Regions from separate parts of the Mus musculus genome. Here all the other regions are reported to be linked to region 2. Evidence: microRNA targets listed by miRTarBase, many of them from high-throughput screens and not tested one by one. Region 2 holds a microRNA gene; each other region holds the end of a gene's coding sequence.
What was found. Region 2 holds the annotated microRNA mmu-miR-30e-5p (UGUAAACAUCCUUGACUGGAAG, at 2,772-2,793, shown strand). A microRNA usually pairs through its seed, bases 2 to 8, with sites in the 3' UTR of a target mRNA and lowers its output. Matches are read on the target gene's strand: a 7mer-m8 pairs with bases 2 to 8, a 7mer-A1 pairs with bases 2 to 7 and ends in A, and an 8mer does both.

Region 1 (5,148 bases), not on the chromosome of region 2:
CAAAGCACTTAGTTAACCTTGAAAATGTCCTAGAAACCACAACAAAGCACTCGGTAAAAGACAAAGTACCCAGTGAAAGCTGGGACCAACAGTACATATTTTATGCTTTGTGGGCCATGCAGTTTGGCACTCTGATTCAGTCCCATAAAAGCAGCCACAAACAAGATGGAAGATTTGTGCAGCTGTGCATATGGATACAACTCATGTGTTTATGTCTATAACTTTTAAGTACACTGAGTTTAAATTTCATATCTTTTGCACACATGAAACCTTTTTCCCCAACCACTGAAAGCCATCGGAGGCTGGGTGCAGCGGGAAACGGTAATCCCAGCACTAATGAAGAGTTTGAGGGTAGCCTAAACTATGGTACATGCCTGTAATCCTAGCAACTTGGGAGGGTGAGGCAGGATCCTGCCTATGATTTTAGGGTTAGACTGGTGGTTTTTAGGCTTGCTGGGTGGTTGTGGTTCTACTTCCTTTAAAATAAGAAGAAAAAGATATAGAACATATCTTAGCTCATGAGCCATAGAAAAACATGTAGCAAGCTAGATTTGCCCCCATAGACACTGATTGCAGAGCCAGCTCTAACACTCCACCCACAAAGCTGTCCAGAGCCTTGGAACTGGCAGGCTTTCCTTACAGTGCACAATCAGCGCCACTTAGAAGCCAGACAGAGCTCTCTTTGCAGTCACCATGTTTTTTTGCCAAGTGAAAGTATGTTGTTGACACTGTGGCCTCACATGCACTTCCTGCCTCCCCTAATACTGGATCCTTTTCCCTCCCATAGGTGGTGGGCTCCTCCATGCCACTCATTGGTGATCACCAGGATGAAGACAAGCAGCTCATCGTGGAACTTGTGGTCAACAAGATGACTCAGGCTCTGCCTCGGCAGCCGCAGCGGGATGCTTCCCCTGGCAGGGGCTCCCACAGCCAGGTCAGGCCCTTGGTCTTGAGCTAGTGGGAAGGAGGCCAGCCCTTCATCAACCTGATGCCATAGAGGTGGTATCAATGGACTATTAATGTCACCTTTATGCACTTGTGGCCTCACTAAATTGCTGCTACCTTGCCATCTTTAAGAGTCTCCTGACCAAATATGGGGTGAGAGGCCTCATAGCTCCATATCCCCTCAACTGGCCACAAATGGGGCAACACCCAGCACACAGGGAACCCATGTCGTTTTGATTGGCTGTTGCTCCCACTCTCCGGTAACTATTTTTAATCTCTTGTATTCCACTCTTCTGCCACAGTCTTCATCCCCAGGAGCCCTGACCTTGGGCCGCCAGACCTCCCAGCAGCCTGCAGGTCCTCCTGCTCAACAACGACCCCCACCCCAGGGTAAGTGAGGGCAAGCCTTCTGGGTTCCTACCATCCCAGGCGGCCTCAGCTCTCACTCACTCTCACTTGCTGTTCTTTTTTTCTGTTCCTAGGAGGCCCTCCACAGCCAGGCCCAGGACCTCAGCGCCAGGGACCCCCGCTGCAGCAGCGCCCACCCCCACAAGGCCAGCAACATCTTTCTGGCCTTGGACCGCCAGCTGGCAGCCCTCTGCCTCAGCGCCTACCAAGTCCCACCGCAGCACCTCAGCAGTCTGCCTCTCAGGCCACACCAGTGACCCAGGGTCAAGGCCGCCAGTCGCGGCCAGTGGCAGGAGGCCCTGGAGCACCTCCAGCAGCGCGCCCACCAGCCTCCCCATCTCCACAGCGTCAGGCGGGGGCCCCGCAGGCTACCCGTCAGGCATCTATCTCTGGTCCAGCTCCAACGAAGGCCTCAGGAGCCCCACCCGGAGGGCAGCAGCGCCAGGGCCCTCCCCAAAAACCCCCAGGCCCTGCTGGTCCCACTCGTCAGGCCAGTCAGGCAGGTCCCGGACCTCGCACTGGGCCTCCCACCACACAGCAGCCCCGGCCCAGCGGCCCAGGTCCTGCTGGACGTCCCGCCAAACCACAGCTGGCCCAGAAACCCAGCCAGGATGTGCCACCACCCATCACCGCCGCTGCCGGGGGACCCCCGCACCCCCAGCTCAAGTAAGGGGACCTTTATAGCAGCCTTGGCCTTTGCTGCTCACAGAGTGCACTGTCCCCAGTAGGGCATCCCCAGATCCCAAGGAAAACCAGATCTCCTTTGCCTGGGCCAAACCCCTTTTGTCTCAATCCCAGCAGTTGAGGGAGAATCCCAGCATCTCCACTTCCAGTTCAGATTCCTCCCCTACAAGCCCTGGGAAAGTCCCCCTTCCAGACCTTTGGCCCATCCCAGTAGCCTGGCTGACCTACTTCCAGTACTTCCCTGTCCATCTGATCTCTTATTATCACCCTCCTCCCAGACAGCCCTGAACTCCCTCAGGCCAATTTGCAGCAAGCCTTCCATCATTTCCCTTTTCAGCCTTTCCTCAAACCTTCCCTAAGACTCCTTTCTGGTCCATTGCCAGATACTCCTGCCACTTCAAACTCTCCCAGATCATACCATCCTTTCTGCTTCTCCTTGTCCATTCTATTCCCCTAGCCCTTAGCTCCAAAGTTTTCCCTGGCCCCCACCCCCACCCCATCTGTTCCCCCTCAGACTGGCTTACCTCATACTAGACTGTCCCTAGCCCAGGCTCCTCCTAGGCTCCTTGCTGGAACCCCTCCTTTCATCCTCCATATCAAACTGACCAAGGAATCTTCCCATTAAACCACACCACTTTATCTTATATCTAAGTCCTCTCAGCTGACCCCACATTCGCCTCAGTCTCAGCTTCATCACCCTTGAGAATCCATCAGGGTTCAGGGGCATGCTTGGGGGTGGGAAGGTCACAGGCACAGCCTCAGGATCAGAGGGGCAGGGCTGGGGCTGGGCCTAGGGTAACATTGTGTTTCTCTCCCTTCCTCCCCTTCCTCTTCCCCCTTCCTCCCATGCCTCCACCTTGTCTCTCTCTAGCAAATCCCAGTCTCTGACCAATGCCTTCAACCTTCCAGAGCCAGCCCCTCCCAGGCCCAGCCTTAGCCAGGACGAGGTGAAAGCTGAGACCATCCGCAGCCTGAGGAAGTCTTTCGCCAGCCTCTTCTCCGACTGACATCCCACTCTGAGAACCCCTAAACCCCTAGACAGCCCTCTCTGGGTCCTGAGTCCATTTCTCACTTTTGGAACCTCCAAATCCCTTGAGAACCCCTCTCCTGGTTCTCCTAGAGCCCACTTCTCATTCCTCAGTATGTCCCTTGAGAAACCTGGTCCTAAATCCAGTTCTCACATTTGGGAATCCCCAAGTCCATTTAGAATCCTGTTCCTGGTCACCTCCAGATCTGTTTGAGAACCTCCAAACTCCTGAAGACCTCTACTTCTGGTACATCTAAAGGGTGATTTCTTCCCTGAAAGTTCCTGAATGGCAGAAAACCTGTTTCTGACCTAATACATCGAATCCTCTCCTGGAGCTCTGAAATTCCTGAAAAACCCTATTCTACTCTTGGTCCTGAATCTCTCCAACACACCTTGCTCCTAATCAGAAATTTCCAATTCCATAAGAAGCCCCTATCCTTAAACCTCTTCCATAGGTCATCTCTCTGGAGATCCACATCTTCAAATGCCACCTACCATCCACCAAGCAGTCCCTCAAGGACTTCCCTTCACCTCTTCCTCTCCATCCCATTCAATATACTGGAAGTTCCTTCCACTTCTAGGACCCCTAAGTTCCCTCCTCCAGAAACCCCTCCCCAATTTCCTGCCTCTGACAGCTGTCTTTAAATATGCAAACTCCACCCATCCTCAGAATCCTTTGCACAAGGAAGGCCTGTGGTCTCCCACTCCCCTACCTTTGCCAATGTGTTTATCTGTGACTGACTTGGCCTCCTTTTGTGCCATGCTTGGCATATGTGGTCCTCATTCATGCCGCCTGTGGTAATGCGTACAGTGGCACTGTTTTTGTGGTCTGCATCTTCCTCCAACCTCCACTCCTTGCCTGGACTTGCCCCACCCCTCAGCGGCTCTGAACCCCCAAGAGAAGAGTCGGGAAGCAAAATAAACAAGCAAAGGCCCAGCAGAATTCTGTGCTTCTTGGTAAAGAGGAGAGTCCTTGAATAGTGGGGGAGACAAAAAGAAACCCCCAAATCTACATGGGGTGCTGGGAACCCCAAAATCCAGTGAAGACACATCAGGCAAAAACTTTAGAAAGAGGTTCTGAGTGGAATCCTTGCACTGAGTCACAGCCATTGGAGATAAAACAGCTCTCCAAATTAGAACTATCCCCAAACCCAAGAGGAGACCAAATTATGGAGAAAGCAGGAGACCTCAGTTTTTGGGGTCCCTCAAATTTCCCAGGGTATGGGATAGGGAATCCTGAGGCAGTATCAAGGCAGAGGCAGAACAGTTATTGGCTGGTAGGTCGGTGTGCCTTGGCATGGTATGCTGAAATTGGCTCCCTGGTGGGCTGGGAGTGAGGTCTAAGGCACAAGACGGGCTGCGCTGAGAAGGCAAGCAGGCAACTCATCAGCCTGGGTGCGGTGCAAGGAGGGTTCGGAGGCACTCCGCTCAATCTTGGGGAGTGACCGCTGCAGTAGCTCGATCGTGGCCAGAATCTGGGAGCGGGTGGAGATGAAGAGGGGTGTCCAGAGTCCCAGAGATACTCCAATATCCCCAATCCCCAGCTTTCAACATGGTTCACATTCAATATCTGCCTCTATCTCTTTACTCACAGTGCATCTCCCCAAGGTATCCAGCCCTCCTACCCAGCCCACCTGGGGAAATAGGGGCCGCTCCTCCCGCTGGAACTTGAGGCAGTCAGTCAGCAGGCGCCTCATGGCTTTGGGGCAATTACTGAAGATTTTGCTGAGGTCCGGAGACAGATAGCCACGGCCCACCATAAAGATGATCTGGTGTGTGGGGAGGAATGGGTTGATTTGGGGTTTGAGCTGGGAGGCCCAGGGATCTATGAATCTTAAAATATATGTTAGGTTAATTTTTGAGGACTAGAGGTGTCTAGTACTAAGGCCCAGAGGAGTCTGTGTCCCTGAGGACTAGGGAGGATTTTCTGCTGATAAAAGAGAGGGATTTATATTAAGGCTGTCAAAGACTGTAGGTGTGTATGGCCCAGAACAATAGGAGTCTGGAGTTATTAAGGGGCATAAGCTCAGAAAATACTAAGATTCGGGAAAATGCAGAGCACTACTTCTTGGGGGAAACTTCCA
Region 2 (5,148 bases):
TTTGGAGGTACTTTATTTTTTTCCTTCATTTCATTCTTAGGGAGCTGTTTAGTTAGCATGAATAGGTGTCATTATCAAGAAGGCTATACTAGTGTGTTCATCTTAGATGAGTTCTGGCAGACTGTAAGATAATGCCCTTCTTCGTTAGGAGGGTTTATTATGAAGTTGGTAGTTGGCAAGAAGGGTGGATTGGAGATTTGCATTTCAGTGGCTTGGGACCATGACAGATACTAGGGAAGGAAAAAACAGAACATTTCCATGACTCCTTTTGGCCCTTTGCTTCAGATGTGGGATCGAGAGGTTGCTGAGGAGTTTTTGAGTTTGTTTGCTTTTCCTTGTTATGCTATTGTCAAGGATTTATAGTACGTACCTGTTTAGTTTTTCCCCAAATTCTGCTGTTAAAGTTTTACTTTAGCAGGCCACAGGATAACTAACCAGGGCTATACAGAGAAACCATGTCTTGAAAAACAAACAAATTGGGCTGGTGAGATGGCTCAGCAGTTAAGAGCACTGACTGCTCTTCTGGATGTTGAGTTCAAATCCCAACAACCACATGGTGGCTCACAACCATCCATAATGAGAAACAGATAATAATACTTTTAAAAAACAAAAAACAAAAACAACAAAAAAACCTATGGACTGGAGTGAGTGGGTCCCGGGAGCAAGTGGGGCCCAGGAGCAAGAGGAAGAAGGGAAGGGGGGAAATGAATGAATGAATGAATGAATGAATGAATAAATAAATAAAGTAAGAAAAACAAATTTATCATACCTCTCACTTCAGCCATAAAGTGATCTATTTTTAAATACATTTCAAAAATTACTTTCCCATATATACTTAACTATATCACTCACTTGAGCTTAGTGGTTTTGTTTTTGTTTTTTTAACCTTAAAACTTTCAATAAAGTACACAAATCATATGGGAGAAAAAGTGTTGATTTTTATTATTCAAAGGAAGGGGAATAATATCAGACTTGAAGAGAAAGTCCACTTGTGACATTCTTTTCAGCTCTGTGTTCACTACCTACCTATAGTAAATTCAGGCTTGAGTATTCAGGCTCAAATTCGGATTAAACTATTCATTAAGCAGTGCAGTTTTGATTTCTAAACTAAAACCCATAGGTAACATAAAAATCAAGCGACTGGATTATAAGTGCCTGTAAAAAGAAAAACAACAACAACAACAACAAACAGTGCTTAGGGCCTTTAAAAAGATCATACAAGTGAATGATGGGCTGACCTTGTGGACCACAGAATGCCAGTTGAGACTGCTGGCTTTGTCCTGAATTAGCCAGAGGATGGTGGTTTTACAACTTTATGGAAGCTTTGAAACCAGAACAAGCAGAAATAGTGGTGAGTAGGGCTCAGATGTCCTGGCCTAGAGCACGAGATATGTGTATCTCTTTCGTTGATTTCTGTCCAGCAAGTCTGATATAAATTGAGCTGTTCTTATTTTTAGCTCTAGACAAACCTAGAGATTTTTAGTACAGTCTAAAAGTCATCTCCTTGGGCTGGGGCATAGCTCAATGGTAGAATACCTGTCTAGCTTGTGTAAAGCTCTAGGTTTAATCCCAGACACTGGGACTAGGGGATAGGAGAGGATCATGTCCTTTTACTTGAAGGATAACAGCCAAAAGAACTAGATTCTTCCTAGGCCAGTTTTTAACTTTGTTTTTCTTTGTTACAGAGGAATGATATTGCCATGGCAATTACAAAATTTGATCAGTTCGACTTTCTCATCGATATTGTTCCAAGAGATGAACTGAAACCTCCAAAGCGCCAGGTGAGCTGGGAGGATTTGCTCAGCTGCCACCTCCAGGGCCTGGGCAAGATGCTCTCCGGAGCTCCTCCCTCCCTCCCACCCAAAGCATTTCTTGTTTGTGGTTCTCTTCCGTAGTCCAGATCATCCTCAGCATCTCCTTCTACTCATTTATGGGTACTTTTAACTCAGTGCCTCTGGGGTGGGGTTGCAGTGAGAGAACAAAGTTAAAAAGACTAGTCACAGATAGTGGGGTGAAGCTCAGTTCAGGATTTCTTCATCTAAAATAAAAGCTTTTTCAGCCAGTCAGTTTTCAGATTCTAAGAAACAACCTCTTTGTGCATAGTGATCAGATTGGAGCCAGTGGCTTTTATTTTCTTACTCTATGCTGTGTCTCTGTAGTGTGATGACTCTACCCATCATCCACTGAGTCAGAACCTATGACCCCATGACCCCAGGAATCAATAATTAAAGTTCCCTAGATGCTTTGGTGTCCAGTGAAGTTTTAGAACCACCATTTACATTTTTCTTTTTAATTACAAGAACTAAGTGTCTGCCCTTCTTCTGCCTGTTCATCTCCAAAGATCACACCATTTGTTTTGTTCAGCACTTGGGTGCATATAACTTAGTTGTGATTGTGATAGACCCCAGTCCTATAGAGCTCATTGTTTCAGGCACGCAGTTTGCATGATTCACTAGGTTTAGTGTAATATGCCTCAGAGAAGTAAAGCCATACCATGTCCTGCTTGTTTTATTTTTGTTCATAAAATATAAGTGTTTTTAACTAATTATTTTGTAGTATACTGTTTAGAGTCATTTAATGACAACCATTCTCCCCATGTTGACCTGTACAAATAACCAGTCAGAAAACCTGTTGGAGAAGTGGGCATCCTAATTGACATTAATTCTGACCCTGCATGAGGGTTTTTGGGTTAGCAAGCCCTGGGTCACCTCCTTATGGGAGCAGGTTGTGCCTCACTGAAGCTCTTTATTTTTCTGGGCAGTCTTTGCTACTGTAAACATCCTTGACTGGAAGCTGTAAGGTGTTGAGAGGAGCTTTCAGTCGGATGTTTACAGCGGCAGGCTGCCACAGTCGTCCCCGGCTGCGCTCATCGGCTTTGAGACATTGCAGGTTTGTGCCCATGAACTTGTCTCCTTTTCTTGGGTTACTTCCTTTCTCTCTGAGAAGTCACAAGAACTCAGACTGTCTCTCTTCGTTTGGAGCTGATAATACCATGAGCCTGTTTTCCTTATTGGATTTTTGCTCCCATGTATCCACCAGGAGTTTCCTTTAAAGACAAGGTGGTAAGATCTGTGATGCAGTCAGGCATTGCTCTTATTGTACTGATTGTTCACTATGGGCTGCCTGCTGAATAGATGACTAAAGAGAAAGTTATTATCCTATACCAGTGGTTCTCAGCCTTCCTAATGCTGCACCATTTAATACAGTTCCTCATGTTGTAATAACCTCCCAACAATAAAATTTTTTTCATTGCTATTTCATAACTGTAATTTGCTACTGTTATGAATTTTAATGCAACTATCTGTTTTTCAGTAGTCTTAGGTGATCCATGTGAAAGGATCTTTCCATCCCACAAAGGGGTCACAACCCACAGGTTGAGAGCTGCTGACCTATACCTTCCTCCAAAGTTGTTTGTTCTTCTGGGTCTGTCAGGGTGTTAGATTTGCTGGTGGTCTACCCCATCTCCCTCTTTTGTTCTTTGGTTTGGTTTGGATTTTTGAGATAGGCTCTCCCTGTGTATCCCTGGCTAGACTAGACTGTGTAGACCAGGTTGTTCTGGAACTCGGAGAGATCTATCTGCTTCTGCCTCCTGAGTGCTGGGATTCAAGGCATGGACCACTATACTTAGTCCATCTCCCTTTAAAAGGTATACAGCAAGAACACTCCTTTAGCTGCCTGGTTTTAGTTCTTTGTAGGTGTTTGAGCTATTGATTGGCATCCTATTCAGGACAGCTGCTGCCTGGCATTTAAAAGGTTGAGATTGCTGAAAGCTGGCCTGAAATTCTAAGATAGCATTTTTTAATTCTCTGTAGACATGAAGTTTTCCCAAGCTCCAAATTGGCTGGCACCTCCTAAAGTCCTTTAAAAGTGCCTACTCTCCAAAACACACCCTCTGAAGGAGGCAGCAGTTCACCCTGCCACTAAAGCAAATGTATTTTTTCCCCTAGTCTGGAGCTGGCTGCTCATCAGTGTAGTGATGACCCTGTGCTGTGATACTGTTTGTTCACTGTCACTGTTTTTCAGTCTCAGCACTGGAGAAGCCACTGTTAGTGTGGAGCAGGTACCCTTCTGTACTGAGTGTTAGCATGGAGCAGGTACCTTTCTGTACTGACCTATTCGGTCAGGTGTTTTCCTAGGGCTTGGTGCTGATCCATCTGGAAAGGGAGACACTGGATTATGAGGCTTCTCAGAGATGATTTGGAGTCTCCCTCTCTCTTTTTTGCCATGGAAGTAAGTAGATTGTCTGCAAGTAGATGGTAGTTGAGGGTTGACTTCTCCCCGACTAAGCTATGAGTTGAAAGTTCCTTGCTCATTGAAATGTCATTATCTTTTCACCCATTTCTTTAAATCAAGCATCATCATTTCCTGCTGGCTTGATCTCCATTTGCAGAATGAGTGCTTCATAAAGCAGAAGAACCTTACTTGTGCCTCCTTCCATCACAGCAATTTGAAAATAGCCATGCTTGTCCTGACAACAGTGTTCTAGAAACTGTCTAAGTCATTATTACCTGAGAGGATGCAGTAGAAAACATGGGAGAGGCTACCTGCCTGCCTGAGAGCTTTTGCTAAAGCACTATTTTGGGTTCTGGCAGAAGTATTTAAAGAATTTGCTTTTTATCTTGGAAAAACAAAACAAAACCCTTGTTCAGTGTTGTAATTATGGACACCTAGAGCTGATCACAGGTCAAAGGCAGGAAGGGACCGTGTCCCCAGCTGCTCTGTGTTCTCAGTTCTTAATACTCTCATAAGCTAAGAGTGTTTCCACTGTTAAGTCCGGCCTTCCTATTTCTAAAATAGGAAGGGGAGATCTCAGTGAGGGGAAAAATAGACACTGAACTTATTTCCACAGCTTTGGAAAGAGCAGTTGACCTCAGTTTTGTGGTCTAAAGGAGTATTGGTATGTATCCCTGCCAAGACATGGTTGCCAGCTGACTTTTGCTTAAAATGGAAAAGAAACCAAAATTGAAATGGACCTGGCTTTGACTTGAAGTTGAGAAAATAAAAGGAGCTCTATATATATATTTTTTTTACCTCTGCTGAAGGTTGAGGACTGAAACTGTGGGTTTGAAGCATAGACTACATTATCGCAGAAGGTCAGCTTATGCTTAAAGACTTGCTTGGATAACCAGAACGTTAGGAACAGTTTTG
Region 3 (5,148 bases), not on the chromosome of region 2:
GTGTTCTGAACTTCATGTTCTTTTGTTTTTTGTTTTTTGTTTTTTTTTTTGCAGTGCTGGGGACTGAATCTGGGTTAGGTGGGTCAGAAGAGGTGTTCAAAGGTTGTCCCACCCCAATAGAAAAGGGAAGCCTCAGGAACCACAGTCCATCCCTCCCTCCCACCCCCTATTCTCTTCATCGAGAAAACCATTCTTGAACTTGTCCAGGAACATACGGAGCATGGCACCTGTAGCAAGCAGTTACCTGATCTGAGAAAAGCAAGAATGAAGTCAGAGTCTTCCTCCTCACCTGCTGCCCCTAAACTTCCCAGATCCTTCGGGAATCCCACCAACCGACCCCACCCTCCACCCACACACTCACCAGGGGGCTAAGGCCTGCCCCTGTGCTTCTTGGCAGGAAGGATGCCACACAGCTTAATTTCATCTTCTTCGCTCTCATCATCACTTTCTTCTTCAGAAAGGTCGTTGTTTATACAAACTGGTGGATACACAAGGATAGAGCCACTCATTCAGCTGCTAGGCTGACAGGGAACCTCATCTCCCAGAGTCCCCAAGTCTAGATGGAAAAGAGCCCACCCACCTCGCTGGAGTTGGACCCCTGGGGCAGGCAGGGTACAGCAAGTTCCCAGGCCTGAAGGAGGCAGTGGGAGGCACAGAATACTGGAACCATAGCCTGAGATGCAGGACACACTAGGAGATGAGACTGGGGTAAGTCGGGAGTGGAGAGGGCCCACTCTTCTCACCGATCTGATGCCGGCCAGTGATCCGAACTGGGCCAGAACCGGACTTCAGGCGGAAGGTGACAGGTGGTTGGAGTTGGAAATCATCCACACTGAGCTGGAAGACAAGAATGACGGGCTGAGCCGTGCTGGCCCACCCACTTGGAGATCAATACCGAAGTTCTCAGTCCCACCAGACTCCGAGAGGAATGAACGGCTCCAACTCACCATGGGCTGGCAAGACAACCTGAGGTTGGCCACAGGAACTGCAATCTCCTGATTGTCGTGATCCCGGGCCACAACTTCCACCACATTACACTCGTCCGTGGCCCCCTCGGTAAGGCACAGCTGAAAGGCAGGCAGAACCTCAGCGTCTCAAGTGAGGGAGGGCTGACACCAAAGCCAAGGCGTCTTACCCCAAAATCGGCCTAGTCCCAGTGGCACCGGATGCGGGGACCAGAGGGTGGAGGAGAGGGGCGACAGGCGGAGTGTCGGCTAGCCCCCCGCATCTCCAACTCCCTCTGCGGCCCCTTACCATGTTCAACGCCAGCACGTGCTCCGTGTCATCCTCCTCCTCAACCTTGAAAGTGAAGGAGCGGGTGTGGCCGGAGAGCTCACAACCTGCAAGAGCCAGCGAGTGTCGCCTGGGTACACGCGTGGAGGGGACAGCGCGCGAGGACGCTCCACAAACTCCGCTGTCCCCTCCACCCGGCCATGTGCCGCGGCGGCGGGGGGGGAACCGGCCGCTTGCTCGCCCAGAACACGTGGACGGGCATCCCACTCGGGAAGAACCGGTTAGGGCGAGCGAGCGAGGAGCCCTCGGCCCACAGCTGCGCCCGGCCACAGCGGCGCCCGGCCGCCTTCCTCGGCCACGCCTCACCCGCCCCGTACCACTCTGCCACTCCCGCGTTCAATACCGAAGAAGAAACTGTCCATTGTGACCGGGGCCGGGACCCTCAGGCCCCCGACGCCCCCAGCTCGGGCTCGGCTCTCTTGGTTCAAGAACGCTAAAGCAGCCGCCGCGCCGGCCGCCATGCTGAAACGGCCGTGAGCGCCCCGCCCCCCGCCTCAGCCAGTTCCGGTCCCGCCCATTAAAGGAGCCGCGCTCGCCACACGAAGCAGGGAGGAGCAGTCGTCGCCTCTTCCACGAGGACAGGTAACAAGGCCCCAGAAGAAATCTCCACGAGGGCTTAAAGTTAGCGTCCACTCACTGAAGCCCCTTCTTCCAACCCGGGGATATATACATACAGATGTTAGTGTAAACCTTTCGTATCTCCTTTTTCAGTAAACTTGGGGTACGGAGCAGCCATTTTTACTCACACCCCCCCCCCCCCCCCCCCCCCCCCCGCTTCCTGATCATGCTGGAGGCTTGACAGCCAAGACCTAAACTCAGATGTGGAGATCAACTACTGTTCATAGTACAGCCTCCTCTTTAGGCGACCCACCCCCCCCCTCCACCACCAAAATTCCTTTATCTAAGGAAATGAAGCCATGTTCCAGTGAGGAACTCTGTGACACCCCCCCCAACTTCACACAAATTTTACCTGTAGTAAACAGAGCAACTTACTTAAAAACAAAAACAAATGTACTTTTCTGAGAAAAATCTTTGCTGTGGAAGGCAGGAGGGCAGGGCTGTCTTCAATCCAGCCTACACTGAAATAGCTTCGGATACCTAAGGGATCAAGAGATGTGAGGGAAAAAAAGGGAGAACCCAGAGAAAAAGCAGCACAGCACACATTCACTTCAAGTTTTATTGTGCCTCTTGCATGGTCTGCAGATAGGTTTACAGTTCGTTTTCTATAGGAACTGAGCTGTGATCTAAACAATGAAATGTTATTCCAACATTAATAAATATTCATAACCATGGAAGATGGCAGAGCACTTTATCCTACAGCAATGACAGTAGAGACCTGGACATGTTTTCACTTATGTCCAGAAGATCATCCCATGTGATTATTGAAAGCCAACATTAAACAAAAAGCAACTTGTTCAATTCCTGATTCCGTATGAAACTCTGAAACGCTCTGAATAAAACCTTGTAATTCTCACTGAGGCATGAGATGGATTCAGAACGCTAAGGAACATTAAACGGTCTTAATATCTAGTAACAATTTTGCCCCTCACCCCAGCCTTCAAAACCAACCTTGACTTAGGTTTCACAGCACATCCTATCGCAAAGGTTCGCACCCTAAGGAGGCGGCACATTTCAGCACACTCTTGGGCCTCTGGTTCTTGGGCCTCCCTGGGTCCACTCTATATAGTGCTAAAAGACTACCTCACAAGCTCACACTGGAGTTCTAGAAAGGAAAATGTTTCAAGCTCCCTCTTCTCTCTCCCCCCTCAGCTCAAAGTTCAAAAGCTATGTAGAACTGGAGGAAAGCAAGGTAACAAAAGACTGTTGAAAATCTATGACGTTACTAGATAGCTAGCCATGATTAAAGAATAATAATCCTGCAGACACTATGTGCCAGCTTCATGCTCAAAACCCTTAAATTCACCAAATCTAAATTAAAATAACATGAAGTTTTCAGAATCTCTGATTAAAAGAAAAAGTATACATATTGTTAACATATACTTATTCTTTCTTTTAAAAATTAGATACAAACATGCAAGAATTAAGGACTGATTCGATTAAACCAGTAGTTAACAGGTCTTTGCGATTAAATGACAACTGTTCAAGGACAAAGGAGACCACTGGTCAGTCCCCTTACCCTTACTTAACAATGTCAGAACATTTCACATGCGGATCTGCTATTAAGGTTAATTCCCAGGAGTTACTGCACTTCCCAACATATCTGAGTCATAAGAAGTTAGGTGCTCATACCCTAAATAGTCATGGCCTAACCCTATGTGGGAGGCACTTCAAAAATAAAAACTATTAGGAAGAAAAGGACAGATGTAAAGGAAATCTACCATTCACTGATTTACATAATTCAAAGTGCCATCCTAAACCAACACCTTTCATTTTCAAAGGAAAAAAAAACCCCATAATATATAAAACAGTAAACAAAGAACAGTCGGGTTACAGCTAATCTATATACAGAGATTTACAAGTTTGTCAATTTAGGCCTTGGCCACAAACAAATGCACATTTGTCCCTAACAAAGCTCAATGGCCTGAACCAACAGTTACAGGAGACAGTTGCCCAGAACTTTACAAAAAGCAGAAAAATTGCCCAAATTGAAACTCACTAAATTTCTCATTCCAGCCATGTCTCCAAAGAACAGAGACATTTCATCCAGCACACCAAGGAGAGTAAAGAGAGTGAACTTCGTTGCTCTTAGGTGAGAAATGCAACCACACTGGATGCAGAAAATAGTGCTGACTCCATTTATTTAAGAATCTCTCCCTAGAGAGCCCCACGTAAGAGGCCCTGACCCTAACACAAGACCCAAAGAGGAGCACACCACAAGCTGCACGGGGTATGCAGCAATACTATCTTCTCCCAACCAGTGAGCATCTGAGAAGGTGATGGGTGCGCTTTACAGTCATCTTTGTTTCCAAGTCAACTGGCTGATCTGCTGCCGCTCCAGCTCCAGACACTGAACTGTGTGAAGACCTCAACCACCAACCACAAGGCGGAGTTAAGGGACTTTTGGACAGTTCACAGTACCAACAAGTGTCACAGGCTTCGACCAAGTATAACCACATCCTTTGGAAATCCTTCCATTTTTGCAATTTCAAAACAGCCTAACTTGCTGTAAAATTCCAGAATCCTTTTATCATCTGGTCTTACTTCACAGAAAGCCCCCCGGGAGCCTAGAAATAAAACAAATGTTTTAAATGTAAGTAAGTGTATCATATAGATTTGAACCGTGTTTAATACAGGTAACAGCTTTATCTATTCCTAAATTTCATATTATAACTTTTATTAACGGGGTACATAATGGGGAACTCTGAGCTATATTCGCAGACTGACAACTTTTTAAAGTCTTTTTTGTTTTTGCTTTTGAGAAAGGGTCTCACTCTATAGTCCTGGCTGGCCTAGAACTCACTAAATCAGGTTGACTTTGATTTAAAAAATACCTAACTTTAAAAATATATTTAAGATTTATTTTATATATATGAGTACAGTGTAGCTGTCCTCAGACACACCACAAGAGGGCATCAGACCCCATTACAGATGGTTGTGAGCCACCATGTAGTTGCTGGGAACTGAACTCAGATCCTCTGGAAGAGCAGCGCTCGTAACCGCTGGGCCATCTCTGCAGCCCTTGCATTACAATTCTTAATACTTAGCCAACAATGAGTGAGTAAAATTCTTCCCATGAAAGAAAAGTCTTAGTGGGTAGTGGCAGCTCTGCATGCCCCCTTAGTCCCAGTGCTCAGGAGGCAGAGGCAGGTGCAACTTTTGAGTTCCAGAATACCCAGGGCTACACAGAGAAACTGTCTTGAAAACAAAACAAAAACAAAAAAACAAGCCAAAAGA
Region 4 (5,148 bases), not on the chromosome of region 2:
TAGTCATTTGAAAGGAAGGAACCGCAATTGAGAAAATGTCTCTATAACTTCTGAGTGTAGCACTGGAAACTCTAAGACAGAAGTTGGTATCAGGAGTTGGGTATTGCTATGATAGGCCTGCCCATGTTTTTTCTGTAGAAATGTAGAGTTTAGGAGTTGGATAACAGAAAGCTGGTGATAATGTAATAGAACAAAGGGGCCATGTTCTAGCTCCAGCAAGCAGCAGAACTAGGCAACTTCTGCCATGTCGCTTTGGCTTTAGAGTCAAGAATAGAAGGGACTACTGAGACAACTGGTTAGCTGGAGCTAAGAAATTAGCAGTGATTAAGAAGAGACCAGCATCACTGAGGTGAAATCTTCTGGGACATGTTTTGTAAGAGCACAAAGAAGCTGTCTTCCAGGTGGCTGGACTTGGTAGTGTGTAAGAATTGCTCAGGTGGTACTGGTTTTGAAGGCATGAAAAGGCCAATGAGAGCAGCTGAGACTTGGAACTGTGAGGGCCCTGGGAAGGTCACTGGTGAAGGTGCAGCCTCAGTTGCAGTTAATGGCCCAGTACTGAAGGGGTCATGCAAAGAAGTTGAGCCTTGGAACCATGAAGGAAGCCTATGAGAGGCTACTGGTGAAGCCTAGTTGCAGTAGAAGACTCCAGCCAACTGGAGATGCCAGTACCATGGGATGACCACAAATAACAGCAGCAACAGTGTTGTCAGAGTGCTATAGAGGGCAAAGCTGGAGAAGTAACCCAAGCCCTTTGGAGGAGCCCGGATCATGTGTGGATCCTAGACACTGGTACAAGAATCTAATGTTGAGTTGCCTTGTAGACTCCAAGATGTCACATATGCTAGAGTCATGGGATACCTGCCAAGGAAAGCTGCTAACAGAGTAAAACCAGCCCAGAAGAAAGTTTGTTGCTGTCAACAAGAATTAAAGGAGCTGGAGATCTGAATGTGCTTTGACATCAGACATGGAGATGCAGTTTGGAGTTTGCCCAGTTGTTCTTTTGGTCTGGTCTGGTCCCATATTCCTTCACTATGTTGTTTTGGAGTGGTAATGTATATCCTTGTGAAGTTTGTGGTATGTGATCTGCCTTTTGACTTTATAGGGGATTGTAGTTAAGTGACTGGGTTTAAGAAAAGACTTGACTTTGGGCTTTTAACACTGTTGAGACTGCTATAGACTTTGGGGACTTTTGAACTTGCACTAAATGTATTTTGCATTATGCTGTTTACCTATGGCCCCCCATAGACTTATGTGTTTGAATAAGCCTATGGGGGCCAGGGAGTGAAATGTGGTTTGAATATGCTTGGCCTAGGGAATGGCACTATTAGGAGGTATGGCCTTGTTGGAAGTGTCACTGTGGGGGTCGCCTTTGGGCCCCTCCTCCTAGCCACTTGGGAGCCAGTCTTTTCCCACTTGCCTTCATAATATGCAGAACTTGTAGCTCCTCCAACACCATCTGGCCTGGATGCTGCCATGCTTCTTGCTTTGATGATAATAGATTGAACCTCTGAACCTTTAAGTCAGCACCAAAAATGTAGTAATTTTTAAGAGTTGCCTTGGTCATCATGCCTCTTCACAGCAATGGAAACCCCAAGACATCTTAACAAATTAAGGGAATGCTTAATGAAATTACTTTTGAGCTAGTTTGTGTGTGTGTGTGTGTTCACAAATGCAGAGGCCAAAGCACGATGTCTGGTGTCTTCCTTATTAATTTCTCCTTTATTACCCCGAGACAGAGTCTCTCAACCAACTGGACTCTTGTCATTTCTGCTAGGCTGGCTAACTACAGAGCTCATGGGACCTGAATTTCCACCTCTCAATATACATCCTTGCCTGGCTTTTTAAAAATTTAATGTAGGTGTTGGGGATTTGAAGTTAGGTCTTCATGCTTAAAGCACAGACATTTTTACCCACTGGAAAATTTTCCTAGTTCTTTTTGAGATAAATGAACACATGCTAAAAAATAAAATTTCTTCAGTACTACTAAAAATGGATCTGTCTGACCCGAGGAAAAACAAAACTATTAACAGCTGACTTATGATACAAAATGATTACTATTGAAATACTATTTTGCTACTATGATACATGTGAAAGTTCTGACACTACAGATAGCTCCAGCCCCCACCCCCCCCCAACAAATAAAAAAAAGATCCCAGAAAGTGAGGATTGACTATGGTTTAAAAAGACTTGTGAAGGATATGATTTGTATCTCTTTGGTTCCATAATTGTTATTTCCAGAAAGTTAATCTCTTATTTATAAAAGTACGTATTTAAATTCTGGCAGTGGTGAGGCATGGTGGTACACACCTTTAATCCTAGCACTGGGGAGGCAGAGGCAGCCTGTTTCACGGAGTGAGTTCCAGGGCAGCTGGGGCTACACACAGAGACCCTGTCTAAATAAAAATAAAACTAAAACCCCTGGCAGTGGGAAACTCCTGCATGGTGATAAGCAGCTGGCAGTCTATGAGCCCTTTCTATGGGAAAATAATCGGCATTTAAGCTTTTAAAAGGAAGGAAATGTTGCTTTGTTTCCCCTCCGCAGTCTTAATCTAAAAGTCTGACTGCATGGAAGTGAACTTCCTCTTACTGGCAGCAACCAATGTGATCTAAAAGGTGATGCTAAATTTTGTCTAGAATATTCTGCTGTCTTAAAAAAACACTAATCCCAAAGTTTTGGTAAAAGAATGGAAGTCAGGTTGTAAAAATGAGCCAAGTTTACCATTCTCCTCCAAGACAGCTAGCGTACTACATGTAGCCCAAGTTGAACTAGAATTTGCAGGTGCCCTGCCTCAGCCTCCCAGAGGTCTGGGGTTACAGGTAGAGGGGTGTTTGTTTATTTTGATAGGATCTTTTGTAGCCCAGCTGGCCTCAGATCTACCATGTAAATGACCTTGAACTCCAGGCCGTCCTGCCTCCACCTCCTAAGCGCATGCTTACTGTGCTGTGTTTATGTGGTGCTGAGGATGGAACCCAGGGCCTCCTCTATGCTAGGCAAGTACTCTACCAATTGAGCTACATCTCTAGGCCCCAAATTTACCTCATTAGAATTTAGGAAAGTCTAGGGTTAGATGGAACCCGTGTTGCTTATAGAACCGATGAAGAGAATTCTGCTTATGTTAAGATAAAAGTCATAGCACTGTATTTCATATTTTATTCAATTTTTAATTTGGTTTCCATTATTAACTCTCAAAACAAAAGGATTTCCAGTTTAAAAAACAATGCACTGACCACATAATTCCTTTTTCATTTTATACAGTTATACAAATATCCTAAATACACATTTGTGTTCAAGGGATGGCAAATAAGATTAACTGTACAGTACATAAGGAAAGAAAATATTTTAAGCATATTTAGAAGCAATAGAAATGTCTATACAAAACAAGCAAAATGGAATAAATTTTTTTATTTTATTTTTAAAGTATTGCAACAGGCCCACAGGTTTGTAACAAAAATGTCTTTGCACAGTTCCTCACAATGCCCCGTTAGTAGCTATAGCAAGACAGCGGTCTTTAGAAAAGAATGTTTCAAAAATGCTACACATGGTACTATTTGCACAGTTTGATCAAAGTAACAAATCTACCTTTGAGTCAAGCAAAACCTAGAGGAGATATACCAACAACGTGAAAATCATTGTATAAAATTCATTGCACATTATTTTACTCAGTTATTTGAAAAGTAAAAAAGTGTATTTACAAAATATTTTGCAGTCAAAATTATAAAGTGAGTGGATATCTCTAAGCAACACATCCTGATACAGACAGTTTAAGGAATACACACGAATGACTTTAAGAGGTTTTCAGTGTTCCTTCCACAGGGAAGTAAACATGATCTGTTCAAATGGATTTACAAGATGGTACATAAACTGGAGCAAATCCAACACCTGTATTATTATAAAACAATGTTCAAAGGTGAAATGATGCGGAATTTGTACATTGTAAGAAGTAAGCTATCCAGAGAGCAGCATGTATCCTTTTTAATCCCGTTAGCAGAAATCTTCATAGTCTTGGATGGCAGACAGACAGTGAACATCTTTGACTTGATGGAGGTTGAGAAAGCACCATGCAGAGGAACTGAGTGGTAAACACTGAGCAGAGAGCACCTGGAATTCTGTGACACTGCTAACTTAAAACTGGTCCAGTAACTGTCGCAGGTACGGGGCCTTGGATAATTCTCTGTTTACTCGTGAGAGTTTGAAAAGTACCGGGCAGTTGAGGGAAACACACGGGATATGTCGGTCAAAGGAACCTGTACAGTTCCTGCATATCTGAAGATGAAAGAAAACAGAATAGGAATGCTTCTGTGTGTATATACATACACACACACACACACACACACACACACACACACACCTATGTAAATAACAGGTTTTTAGATTCCTTCTTTTCTGCTACCTCAGTTAACTGGCAAACTTAACTCAGTACAGAGAATTCTGTCTGTTTCCTATCTCAGAAGCCTAGCCATATTTCATGGAAAGTACAAAACGGTCTCAAGATTCATTTTATTTCTTGGTTCACTTTCATTTACAATGCTACCTCGTTACACTGAAAGGCACAGGCAGGCTACCTGTGCTTGCCCAGACTACTGAACCAGAGCCCAGCACCTGGAAAAGCCCTGTCTCAGATCTAGTCCTACAAGACTGACCTAAGCCACTGAGACTTGCACACACTGCTGACAAAGTCACAACTGAGGATCATGATTTGAAAACATGAGCAACCAAAGCAGGAACCAACACTGTGATTCTATTAAACGAGGTGCTTATGCATAGCAAAGGACGGTGGATTGGGAGAAAATGTTAGGAAACTATTCATGTGATGAGAAATACCTACAATGAACAAACTTAACGGCAAGCCCCTAAAATATGAAAAAGCAGCTAACATCACTAACAAGCAGGATGATAAGACCACAGTGGAGATATGGGGGTACTGGCACATTCTTATAATCTGCCATATATAAGAATTAGATCTTATATATAAGAATTATATAAGTATAATTCTTATACTCTGGAGCGTCCTGAGTTCCAGGCTAGCCAGGGCTGTAACATTCTCTCTCAAAAAACCAAAAACCAACAAACAAATCTACAAGGAGATATCAGTTATCTCAATTAGAATAGTTATTTTTAAAAAAAGATATTAATGAATCAGAAGACAG

Region 1: miRTarBase lists Araf as a target of mmu-miR-30e-5p. The part of its 3' UTR that is shown has no 7-base or 8-base seed match.
Region 3: miRTarBase lists Oga as a target of mmu-miR-30e-5p. Seed matches in the 3' UTR shown: 7mer-m8 at 3,722-3,728.
Region 4: miRTarBase lists Rev3l as a target of mmu-miR-30e-5p. Seed matches in the 3' UTR shown: 7mer-m8 at 4,078-4,084 and 7mer-m8 at 3,819-3,825.

Annotation. Positions count from the first base shown.
Region 1 is chrX:20,859,370-20,864,517 of GRCm38, reverse strand. Araf (Araf proto-oncogene, serine/threonine kinase) reads right to left here. Exons shown (of 16, transcript NM_009703.2): 15 at 4,699-4,833; 16 at 3,997-4,539. The coding sequence ends at 4,405. Syn1 (synapsin I) reads left to right here. Exons shown (of 13, transcript NM_013680.4): 10 at 788-934; 11 at 1,248-1,335; 12 at 1,428-2,019; 13 at 2,909-4,007. The coding sequence ends at 3,044. It overlaps Mir5617 (microRNA 5617), which reads left to right and starts at 1,336; the gene lies at 1,336-1,392.
Region 2 is chr4:120,770,305-120,775,452 of GRCm38, reverse strand. It overlaps Mir30e (microRNA 30e), which reads left to right and starts at 2,756; the gene lies at 2,756-2,847. Nfyc (nuclear transcription factor-Y gamma) reads left to right here. Exons shown (of 10, transcript NM_008692.4): 5 at 1,686-1,781. It overlaps Mir30f (microRNA 30f), which reads right to left and starts at 2,847; the gene lies at 2,756-2,847.
Region 3 is chr19:45,747,803-45,752,950 of GRCm38, forward strand. Oga (O-GlcNAcase) reads right to left here. Exons shown (of 16, transcript NM_023799.4): 16 at 2,453-4,478. The coding sequence ends at 4,342. Npm3 (nucleoplasmin 3) reads right to left here and starts at 1,763. Exons shown (of 6, transcript NM_008723.2): 1 at 1,637-1,763; 2 at 1,255-1,340; 3 at 948-1,067; 4 at 744-837; 5 at 362-478; 6 at 1-249. The coding sequence starts at 1,754. The coding sequence ends at 369.
Region 4 is chr10:39,873,200-39,878,347 of GRCm38, reverse strand. Rev3l (REV3 like, DNA directed polymerase zeta catalytic subunit) reads right to left here. Exons shown (of 32, transcript NM_011264.3): 32 at 3,142-4,264. The coding sequence ends at 4,124. Among named protein-coding and RNA genes, the nearest start is that of Mfsd4b4, 23 kb to the left of the region's middle.